3 linked regions of the Oryzias latipes genome follow. The protein of the gene in region 1 purifies or fractionates together with the protein of each later gene. This does not show direct contact. Links are inferred from orthologs where the notes say so. Each region holds a gene or a part of one and is shown on either strand. Other genes may lie near its edges. The genes, in order: scap, insig1 and srebf2.

Region 1 (3,655 bases):
GGTCATTCTTCTTTTTGCCACGTTTGAACACCCCTGTCTTAGAAGACAATAATTCCCAGGTTTACACTCAGTATTCTGTCAATTATTAATATTGTTATTTTACTTTTATTAAAATTGTTTTGTCTATTGGAATTTTTTATTGATATACCGGTACATATTATTATTTGTAATTCTGTCATCATTATTAACATTATGGTAAACTTTATGATATAAATTAATGGTAGTAACTATTCATTTATATGGTGTCTTTTTTATTGATTTATTAGTAACAGTCTTGTCAAATATCCACTGAACTGAGTCACCAACACTCACTGACACAAACACTTTCTTGTTCTCCTGTTTCATTTGGTTGGCATCTGTATGTCATCCTATACAATCACTTTGTCTGTAATGGTGTCTTGTATGTTTTTCACTCCACTATTTCCTTTATCATCCTTCTGCACAGATAATCAATTGTTTTATGCATCTGAACGTTTTTTTATTTTATTTTACTGTGTTTTAATCCATAATTCATAACGTATTTTGATATCCACTGTGTTATTAAATGTTTTCTTGTACTTATATATACATACATTTTAAATTTAGACTAGAAAGATAAACACTTCTTGTTTTAGTAAAACGGATGAAAGACATTTGAATAAAAGGGGGAGGGGTTAGTTGCTCTGCAGGTGTTTTTACCTGTTGTTCAAGAAGGCTAAAGCTGTGATTCCAGAGACTCCGTCTTCATTTCTGCATCGCAGAGACCCTTCCACTGCATCCCACAACTGAAAGACAGGCGCCATGTGTTTCAATACATTGATATGAATATATGTTGTTTAATTGTGAGCTTGGGCAGACAAACTTTGTAAAAATGCCCCTCCTCCCAAATGCAGGTGGAGCATTTTCCTGTCATTGATGGGACATCCAGTCAAATAGGTTCATTTCTGTTGCAAAACTGTAAAAAAAGCTAATTGGCTAATTAAGAGATGCTGAGTGAGGTTTTTCTCCTACTTCCAGTTTGCCGCTGCTCCTCCCAGCAGCTATCAGGTTTCCTCTCAGCTCCATGGCCCACACAGAGCTCTCCCAGTCTGGAGCCGCCTGAGTCCCGGATCCGGAGCCTCTCTCCTGACTCGAAGCCCCGCCTCCATCGCCAACGCTGAGTCTCCTCTGAGGCTGAGCAGCTGAGGACGGCGATGAGGACGCAGAGGAGGCACAGGGGTAGCTGGACGGCGATGGCGGCTCGTGCTCTGTGTACGCCCGCTCCACCAGACTGCCGTAGTCAAAGCCTTCTTTGGGTGGGGTGGACAGGTGAGAAGGGGGCTGGGAGGTGAAGTTGGTGTCAATAAGCGGAGTCAGATCGGGCTGGTCGGTGAAAAGAACCACTCTGGAGGGTGAGGCGCGGCGCCTCAGCGGGAAATAGTCCTCCTCTGAGAGGTTCTCCCCGCCGATGGAGGGATCTCGGCTCTCAAAGCCCAAACCTTCGGGTTCTCTGCTCAAACCATCCAAGCCCTCCCGCTGCTCCCAGCAGCCACTGCTGCTGCTCCGCCTCAGCCTGGGGGGGGGGGGGGGGGGGGGGGGGGGGGGGGGGGGGGCACAGAACTTTGTTAGCTCTAGAGCAAAAGAAATTACTCAAGAGTAAACAGTAAAATGAATCATGACAAAAAGGAACCCTACTTTTACTACAGAATGAGTACTTTCAAATGTACAACCTTTCCCAGAAGTCTATTCCGCTAATGCAGGGGTCGGCAACCTTTTTTACTCAAAGAGCCATTTGGGACCGCCCCTAATGAAAAAAAAAGCACCCGGAGCCACAACCCGTTTTGACATCATTATATATATTATGCATGTATATATTATATCAAGGGTGCTCATTACGTCGATCGCGATCGAATTTCAATGACATAAGTGTAGATTGCGGGCCAGAAAAGATAAAAAAAAAAGTACTTCTTCATGTTTATTTGTTACATGTTTATTTCAACATTATTGTTTATGTACTGATGATTAAAAACTACACAGTGAGTTTACATAAAGATACTTTTGTATTAACAGATAAGGCGTTTTATTACAAAGACAGAAAGCAGCGACCATCGTATTCATGCTCTGCTGTAAACGGTGCAATGCGGGGAGCGTGGCATATTGTGAGGCATTTGGCGCTGTTGGCTCCGTATTGATCAGTATTGATGGGGAACAACGACTACTAATTTAGTGCTCCGTCCTCCGAAAACACAATATATTTCACGCACACACCTCCGCTCCGTGCTGACACCCCCATCTCCACCTGCACGCGCCCCTCCCTCGTGGCACGCGCACCGCTCAGCACAAACACACACTCGGCAACAGTATAAAGCGCGCGCCTCACAGCTTCCTTGATGAGCTCGTATTTATCGGGCGAGAACTGCAGAGCTTATAGCAGGAGGAGAAACGCGGGGCGGCTTTAATAAATTCCGGTTGCTGGACTTCTACCGGGGACATGATGTGCCGCGGGGAGAAAAAGACGTTCTGAAGGCAGAGTTTGCGCTGAGTGCATTTATTTATTTTATTTTTTTTAACTTGTCCTGTCCAACAGCTGGGCAAACAGATGAGAGCTGAGGGCCTCTTGTGTTGGACATATTTTATTTTAACAAGAGGGGTTATTCATCTTCAGACAAACCAAAGGTATGTCTGAATAAACCCCTTTTGTAATTGAGGCCAAACTTTATTAATTTCAATCATGTTTGAAAATCTTTGGTGTTGGACCGGACGGAAAAAGAAAGAGGGGAAGAAGAGAGAGGGACGTTAGAGAGAGGGGGGGGTAGGAGGGTGATAATAGGAGGGGAAGGGGGGTAAGACCATGAAGCAGCATAGAGCAGACAGGTTTACTGGTTGTTTATCGTTACGGTACGGTTCAAATGTAGTACAAAAAGGGCGGGGCCTGTTCACAGACACTCAAATATTATCAACACACCTGCTAGCCGCAAAAATGTCCACATGTCAACATGCACACAAGACAGATAGTGTTCACGAACGCATACCTATGCCTTTAAACCAACTAGTGTGAAATCTTTCATTCATTCAATCATGCAAACTATTAGTGCAAAGGTGAGCTAACACCTGTGCTCAGGTGAGTGTATATGTTCTTCTAAAATGGATGGTGGAATGTGAAAAGAAGGAGGAGGAGCGCCCAGCCACCCCCACACCCATACCCCCGCCGCAGCAGCAGCGGCAGCCGGAATTCCCCCGACGCCACACGGGAACAGGCAGGGAACAACCGCCCCCCGGGCGACCAAGACCGCCACCCAGGCCAGGGCCAGCAGGACCGCCGCGAGGCCCCCAGAGCCAGAGAGCAGGGAGGCGCAGAGGGAAAGAGAGCGCCGCCCCAGCCCAGCCAGGAAAGCAGCCCCCCGCCGCGCCGGAAGAGCCCAACGCAGGGCCCCACCGGAGAGGGACGCCCACAGCCCCAGACGAGCACCCCACCACCACCCAGGAGTTCCGGGCATCCCCCCGCCCCGACCCCAGGTACGAGCCAGGACCCCCCAAGGGAGACCCGCTCCGCACTCCAGGCAGCCACCCACCCGGCCCACGGTTGGTCCAGGTAGGAGCAAGGCAGGGGCCCGCCGCCCCCGCCCAGGAGGGGGGAACCCCGGGGAAAAAAGGGCGGCCCACAAGGGATGTTATAAATATGGCCCGACCAGGCTCG
Region 2 (3,429 bases), on another chromosome or scaffold:
GTGGATGCATCAGAATGGAGCGGAGCAGGGAGCTTTGGCTCGCCCAACGATTTTTTTAATGATTGGATTAAGAAACGATTTAAATTAAGAAATACTCAGGAATTCAATTTTAAGATTAATTTTCTTTATATATGTCCTCCTTTATCACAAAAATGCCACAAGAAGATGTTCAAAACACTAAAACTCAATTTTCATTAGACTGGGTTTTTAATTTGAAAGTATAAACGATTAAAAAATGACTTAAACCTTTTATTATGACAAATTCTTTTAGTAGAATCGGCTTAAATGCAAACTAGACAAGTGGAATAGAAATAAAGTCTCAGGTTCCTCCTGATCCTTCTCATAAATGACGCCATGGAGCGGAAGGAGGAGAGAAAAAGAAAAGGCTGAAAAGTGCGAGTTCAGACTTGTGCCAACAGTCCTCGGGCCTCATCACAAACAAAAACAACAAGCAGCAAATGACCCTTCGGTCAGCCGAGTCCCGACTGGCTCTGTGTCTCCCGGCGGCTGTGAGAAACAACAGCTCTTAATCTGCTTTCACGCTTTTACCGAGTCAAACTGAGGGAGTGACGGCGCTCTGGCTTTACAGACAGAATGAGGTGAGGCTTCCGGGCACGAGCTTAATGAAGACATCAAGCCGACTTGATGGGGTAATTATAAAGGAGAGGAGGGTGTCCAATGCTCTTTGCACAAATTTAAACCATTACAATCTTATCTCCTGCTCTTGCTCAACTACATAATTCCATATGAAGTGGGTTCGCTGCAGCAGAGGCTTTTGGAATATTTTGTGACTGGCTGCTGCTAAGTAATAAACACAGGAGCCGGTTTTTGTGACAATCAAAAAAGTGTAAACTTTTAAAAACAAACAGACAAATTAAAAAAAAAAGTTAATCAAGATTAAGAGAAACACCTGACTGTTGCAAATCAAACCAGAAACACCTACAGAACTGGTTCTACTCTTTAAAGGAGTGGAAAATGAAGATGAGACACTTTAGATTTATTTTCTCTTTCATTTCAACTGATGGTTAAACAAACTCACCAATAACCCCCCCCCCCCCCCCCCCCCCCCGCCTTTCCTCAGATGCTACAGGATTTTGTGGAGTGAAATGGAAAGTGTGCAAATAATTGTATTCGCTCACTGAATGCAGATTGTGCCTTATTGAGTAAGAGAATTGTGTTTTTTTGTGGTGTATTTTCATAGGATGACAAACGTGTAGCAAAGAAAACACTAATGATGTTAAAGTTCAATATTCAGAACCAGAACTTGATCAAACTGCTTGAAAAGAACTGAAAGGGTTAAAACGTTGAATGTTAAAATCGTGACATACATTTCAGTTATTGAACCACCTTGAAGAGTTTGAAAGTTTTGATAAAGTGTTCCCTCGCTATATTAGGGGGACATATTTTGTGGATTTTTTGTGCAGTTTTGCCCCAGTGCATTGAGTTCTGCATCCTGATTGGCCGTTGACCTTGTCAACCAATCCCCTCCGTGCAGAATATGCTGTACAGAATATGTTACTTTTCCCAAAGTGACATAAATCTTCAAATCTCAATCAGATTTTTGTTTTCATTCTATAATAACAGGATGGGATTTTCTATAAAGATTTGAGAAAAAAAGTGCAAAAATATTAATGTCTTTAAGAGAAAATGGTATAAAGTGTGTTGTGAGGGCTTATTTATTGTTAAAAAAAATCATTAAATACCTATTGCAGGTAACTTTTTGAAGGTAACTACAGCGACAAACTAGGGAAAACTGTAATTTAATTTTTTTTAAATGAAGATGTTGTGACAGAAATATACAAATTTTAACCAATAAAATAGCAAAATAAGAATCTAACATTACAGACTATTGTGCTGCAGCCCCTAATCAACATCACCACATGCTGGTCAAGTAGATGGATTTATTGTTTCAGGAAGTCCATAAAACATTTCCTGCTTCACATTCAGATATATTCTGACTGACATTGTTGCTGTTTTGGAATTTTGTGTGCACACCTCAGAGGCACACCAGTCTAAAAGGAGGCTGAAAACAAACTCTGCAACTCTACAACAAGCTTTTTTTTAGCCCCAACAGTGAGTCTTCTGGTGTAGTACAGTTCACCTGTTTTGAGCAGCAGGTTAGATGTTAAGCTGCATTCCCACCAAACGAGATTCACGCGGCAGAGTCGTCCAGTTTCACTGCAGTCAATGTACAGATGCAATCAGAGCTCCTACGGAACAATCTAAGTGTTGAGTGAGGCGCAGTGAAATACACATTTCTGAAGTTTGGCAGTCTTTTGCCCGTGACGTCTTGATAATGTAATCAACGGGTGGAGTCCAAAACCACCAGGGAGGAGAAACTGATCGTTAAGATATTTTTCTTATTTGTCTGGATACAAAATAAAAAGTGCCTCTAATTTTATTTTTGTTTTTATTTGTCACTCCTCAGAATAATGCGGGACACCAGGTCTTCAAAAGTGGGTCACAGAGAGACGGAAGTACCGCTGAAAGCGTCCGCCATTCAGACGCAACTCCTGCAGTAGACGGTGAAGATCACCGTACTGCGAGAGCCTCTGAATGATCTCATGAACCCAGACATGGAGACGTGATTAATGATGTTTTTGTAGAGCAATGTAGCAATGAAGCTGAAGACGTTGGACAGAAGCTCCTCCCACACACGGCGGGCGGGAGCGTCAGATTTATGAACACCTTTTTCAACCAGCGTCCAGCAGAGAATTCGCTGCGCGGCAAAATAGAGGCGGAGGACGCGGATTCGCAAAGCAAATCGTGTTTGGTGTGAATGCAGCTTTAGACTTAGGCAGTTAGGTTTGTCTGTGCGACTCTTTACAAGAAAAACAACTGACAGAGGGCTTTACCATGGCAAGCTGGCGTCCTATGTTCCCCACAGTCACACCGCCTGAGAAGAATATGCACGGCAGCCACGAGCGCACATAAAGGAAATCTGGAGATGTGTACCTACAGCAAAGAGAAGGAATCAAGGGTCAGATAATTGCAGGTATCGCGAGGCGGATGGATTAAAAATGTCAACAATCTCTCATAGAAATGTTCTGATCCTCTGGTGTGCCGTTCTGCTGTTCACCATGTAAGCAGGGCTAAATGTTACGCAACTACCCATGTGAATTTGAAGAATGAGATCATCTAAAAATAAAAGTCTTCAAAGCGGAGAAGAAAAAAAAACAGATTGCATCCAATAACATTAGTAACCAGTCAGTTAAATGGATTCTAAGTGACAAAGGTCAACTTTTACTACTGCACAATCACTTATTAGTGTTGAGAATCAGCCATAAGAGAGAAACATTCTTGTTTGTTCACACAACATTGAAACCACACGTTGTTGCTCCAAATCTCCCCTGAAAAAAGGCTGACTTACTGGTAAACGCCATTGTAGACCAGCAGTTGTGTGATGACAGTAGCGAGGAAGGCGGTGGT
Region 3 (3,755 bases), on another chromosome or scaffold:
AACATGCACTTCTTTAGTTTTCCTACATTAACGATTATGTATTTTTCAAATGACTGATTTAATTCTGTTTACCAACTGGCATTTACCGTTAAGTGTTTTTTGTTACCATTTCTCCACATAATGGAACAAAAGTATTTTAAGCACAATATGCACTAAATAATAAAAAGTATGTAAAATGACTTGAATGTATGCTGATTTATTTCTGTTTTTTGATATAAAACACCTTAAACCTGTCTTCTAATGTTCTATTTCTAAAGGCTTTTGCCTCACATCAAGAAGGCCCCCGGCTGGGAGACCTAAAACAGAACATCAATGGAGGACCTTTCTGTGTTCTCCCAGGGGACTCCAGCTTCCTCCCACTGCTTCATAGGTTAATTGGTGACTCTAAATGGTACCTAGGTGTGAGTGTACATGGGTGTGTGATGGCGACAGACTGGCGACCCGTCCAGGGTGTCCCCTGCCTTTGCCCACAAGTAGCCGGGATAGGCTCCAGCAGTCCAATGACCCTGAAAGGGATAAAACAGTAAAGAAGATGAACGAATAAATAAAAATAATAAACAAATAATTCAAAAAAAAAAATCTGGAGTCAAGTGTACCACAACATTGCAGTTAGATGTTTCTAATTTACTTGCAGTTGAACCTGAGCACTATATCCACTAAGGTTTAAATGAGGAGGCTGCATGGCAGGTTAGGATGAGCTGGACGTTGTGAGGGAACACAGCTAATTATGAATGGGAAGGCTGCTCAAATGAACTTCTCACACTGCAGATTTGTAGACTTACGGTACCTGTGACTGGGTGAGTTATTGTGCTGATGTAGCACCGATGCTTTACAAGCGAGTAAATGTGCGAAACGGTATTTACACGCAACACAAAGCAGCCAAATGGTGAGGTGACAGGATAAACTCTACCGCTCTTATATTTTAGACCCTTTTTTTTGCCTTTTTTATTCTTCATGTATATATACAAGCTTGTTGTTCAGTCCTTTATTAACTGTTGAATACTGCAAAAAAAGAACACATTTAAATGTTAAATACAAGTTTTATATTATTTTAGGTTTTACAAGCATTAGTTTCTTTAAAAATACTTATTTAAATATATGCGTTTTTATCATTTAAATATTTTATTAAAATAGAATTCAGAAAATGGTTAGAATTCAATAATTAAATGACAAAAGTTCCACATATTAACAGAAAATTTGATTTTCGCATAAGTAAATATTTTAAGATTTAAGTTGAGCTTATTTCTATCGCTGCTTTTAATTACAGTATTAATGTAAACTCATAAATAGTAACCGCCTGACGAATCAGACTCTCCATTGCTCCTGTTTCCTTTATAAAGACAGGGGGCGCGGTTTATTCAAATGACACGCAGGCTTCTGATGGTTGACGTGCTATCAGACCACGGTAAATCCCGCTCTGTCATTGGTCACTGATGACTGGTCCCATGACAAGAACAATTAGGTTTCCACCAATCAGATCCCGGCTTCAGCTCCGGAGTATGTTTGTGAATGACGTAATTAGCGTAAAACAAGATGGCGTCGCCTTGGCTGTAAATCGATGTAAAAGTGTTTATCGGAGTAAAAGTCAGCCTCTTTTGGCGGTTTATTGTTGTGTTACGACTACTTCGATACGGAACAAATATATCTAGCCGGTAGCTGAGCTGTAGGCAGGGCCCCTTCAGAGGAGGCGGTGGTTTGTGAGTGTCGTGTCCGGCAACCCCCGGCGGGAGAGTGCCGGAGAGCTGCTGCTGTCAGGATGGACACCGGAGAGTTCATCTCCACCGTGGAGAACATGGACCCGAGCTTAACGGAATTAGGGGACGAATTCACTTTAGGAGACATTGACGGTGAGTTCACTGGGTTTTGTCAACACACTCAGGTGTTGTTATTATTTTTTAATTATAGTAAGTGTCCGTCTTCCACATATGTTCTAAGCCTAGAAAACTAAGATATTTCAGTAGCTCTTAACACACAGGGTTTATTATTAATTTAGTTTGTAGCTACGTTTATTTTTGTGGGAAATACACGTAAACTTGTCTCTGCTTTTCCGTTTCCTGTTGGATTCATTCAATATTTTACTAAACAAAAGCTATTTTTCGTTATTTGTTAAATTAAAGGTGCAAAAAAAAAAAGCTAGAGATTAAAAATGACTAGAAATTCACCCAAACTAGTGTCATTTTTCAAAACTGACGTTTTTTTAATGAGGCAAAGCGGCTGTCGAGGAATACCAGTCAGTCAAAACTGAGAAAGCATCACCTGTGTGTTTATTATTTATATAAAACATGAAGGAAGATAGCATAAAAATTATAATATAATATTAGCAGAACATAGGCTTCTATTGGTAAAGCAAAATGAAAAATATTTAAAGAAAGAACAAGACAGTTGAAAAGGTTGTGGTCGTTATTTTCCAGCTTTATTATGAAGGAATTACTTAAGAATTGCACTGATGTCTGCATTCCTTGCGTTTTTTGATAGGTAAGACAGATGTGTTGTTACTATTGTCAAAGGCAAATCTGTCAGAGGGTAAAAGGACAGAGCTTTTGGTTGAACACTAGTCACCAGATCCCCATTAGTGTGGAATCTCATTCAATGTCACCAGACTGGACTGATGAAATGTGGGTGTGTTCTACATAGAGAACTATAGAATGGTACTAGGTGTATAACATTATTATGAGGCAGAGACCATCAAGATGCAGTGAGAAACTGCTCTTTTATTTTGAAATTCTGTCATTTTGGTTTTTGCTTCAATGCAAACTGGTGAAGAAACATTAAAGCACCCACCAGCAGAACATCTATCATTGAGTTAAAACAAACAAACCTTCTAAAGCTCTCATCCCTTACATGCATTTAAATTCTCAAAGCCTTTTGCTCACATTAGAAGTCATTTTTTGTTTTTTGATTGTATGATTAAATCCTTGGCTTCCCTTCCCTGTCTTTTAATCTTTTCGACTGTTGGTTACATAACGTATTTTCTTTGCTCTCAGCTCCCCCTTTTGATGGATTTACTTTGTGTCTGCTTGTTTAAAGCTTTGGAGGCTCAGAGAAGTGTTGTCCCGTCTGCTGCACAGTACGGATGAAGACGAGCATGTCTGCATGAGAATGCGTTCAAAAAACTGCTTTATGTCTAACTTTCACACCATTATTGCGTTTGTTGCACCTCTTTAAACACACGCTCAGAGATGAAGTTGTTTATTTTAAGACACAAAGGATCATTGCTTTATACGCTTTGTTTACTGTCTGCGTTCCCCCGGCAACAACCAAAAAAAGGGCAAACAACATTTTTCCGATGTGCCACAGGTGACCGGCGGAGTCTGAGGACTCACTGCCCATCGTGACATTTTCTGTAGGAGTAGGAAAACAAGTTATTTTAAGATCAAATGATGCTACAAAGCCATAAAATTGCAAACAAAATGACCAGTTTTAAAGATATAGAAGAAAAGGACTTCTTCCAAATGCTTTTATAAATTGCAGATCTTAGCCAGATTGTCTTAAAATGATTAATTTATACCTTAACAGAAGCTTTGTCATCCTTCTTATTAAAAAAATCATTTGAAGGATTTGTTTGTTGGACTTTCAAAATGTATGTGATCCTGCTAAAAATGAATTTCCTATATTTAGATTATAAAATTTACATTATACATTTATTAGAAACACAAACTGCTGTCATTTGTAAAATATTGATTCAACAAGATTTTAAAGCTAACATTTGTGAAATACTCTGTCAGTTTAAAGAATTTATGAGATTTATTTAAACA

Evidence for each region.
Region 2: the proteins of scap (region 1) and insig1 purify together in Homo sapiens (affinity purification with western blotting; 11 studies listed by BioGRID and IntAct, with this or other methods). This does not show direct contact. The link is inferred for Oryzias latipes from reciprocal best matches to the Homo sapiens genes SCAP and INSIG1.
Region 3: the proteins of scap (region 1) and srebf2 purify together in Homo sapiens (affinity purification with western blotting; 3 studies listed by BioGRID and IntAct, with this or other methods). This does not show direct contact. The link is inferred for Oryzias latipes from reciprocal best matches to the Homo sapiens genes SCAP and SREBF2.

Annotation. Positions count from the first base shown.
Region 1 is NC_019874.2:27,614,184-27,617,838, forward strand, and holds part of scap (sterol regulatory element-binding protein cleavage-activating protein), read right to left. Parts: intron 1,532-3,655; coding exon 991-1,531; intron 765-990; coding exon 679-764; intron 1-678. UniProt on the Homo sapiens protein: Escort protein required for cholesterol as well as lipid homeostasis.
Region 2 is NC_019878.2:19,443,435-19,446,863, reverse strand, and holds part of insig1 (insulin-induced gene 1 protein), read right to left. Parts: coding exon 3,371-3,429; intron 2,956-3,370; coding exon 2,856-2,955; intron 1-2,855. UniProt on the Homo sapiens protein: Oxysterol-binding protein that mediates feedback control of cholesterol synthesis by controlling both endoplasmic reticulum to Golgi transport of SCAP and degradation of HMGCR.
Region 3 is NC_019866.2:19,993,407-19,997,161, forward strand, and holds the start of srebf2 (sterol regulatory element-binding protein 2), read left to right. Parts: upstream 1-1,504; 5' UTR 1,505-1,756; coding exon 1,757-1,847; intron 1,848-3,755.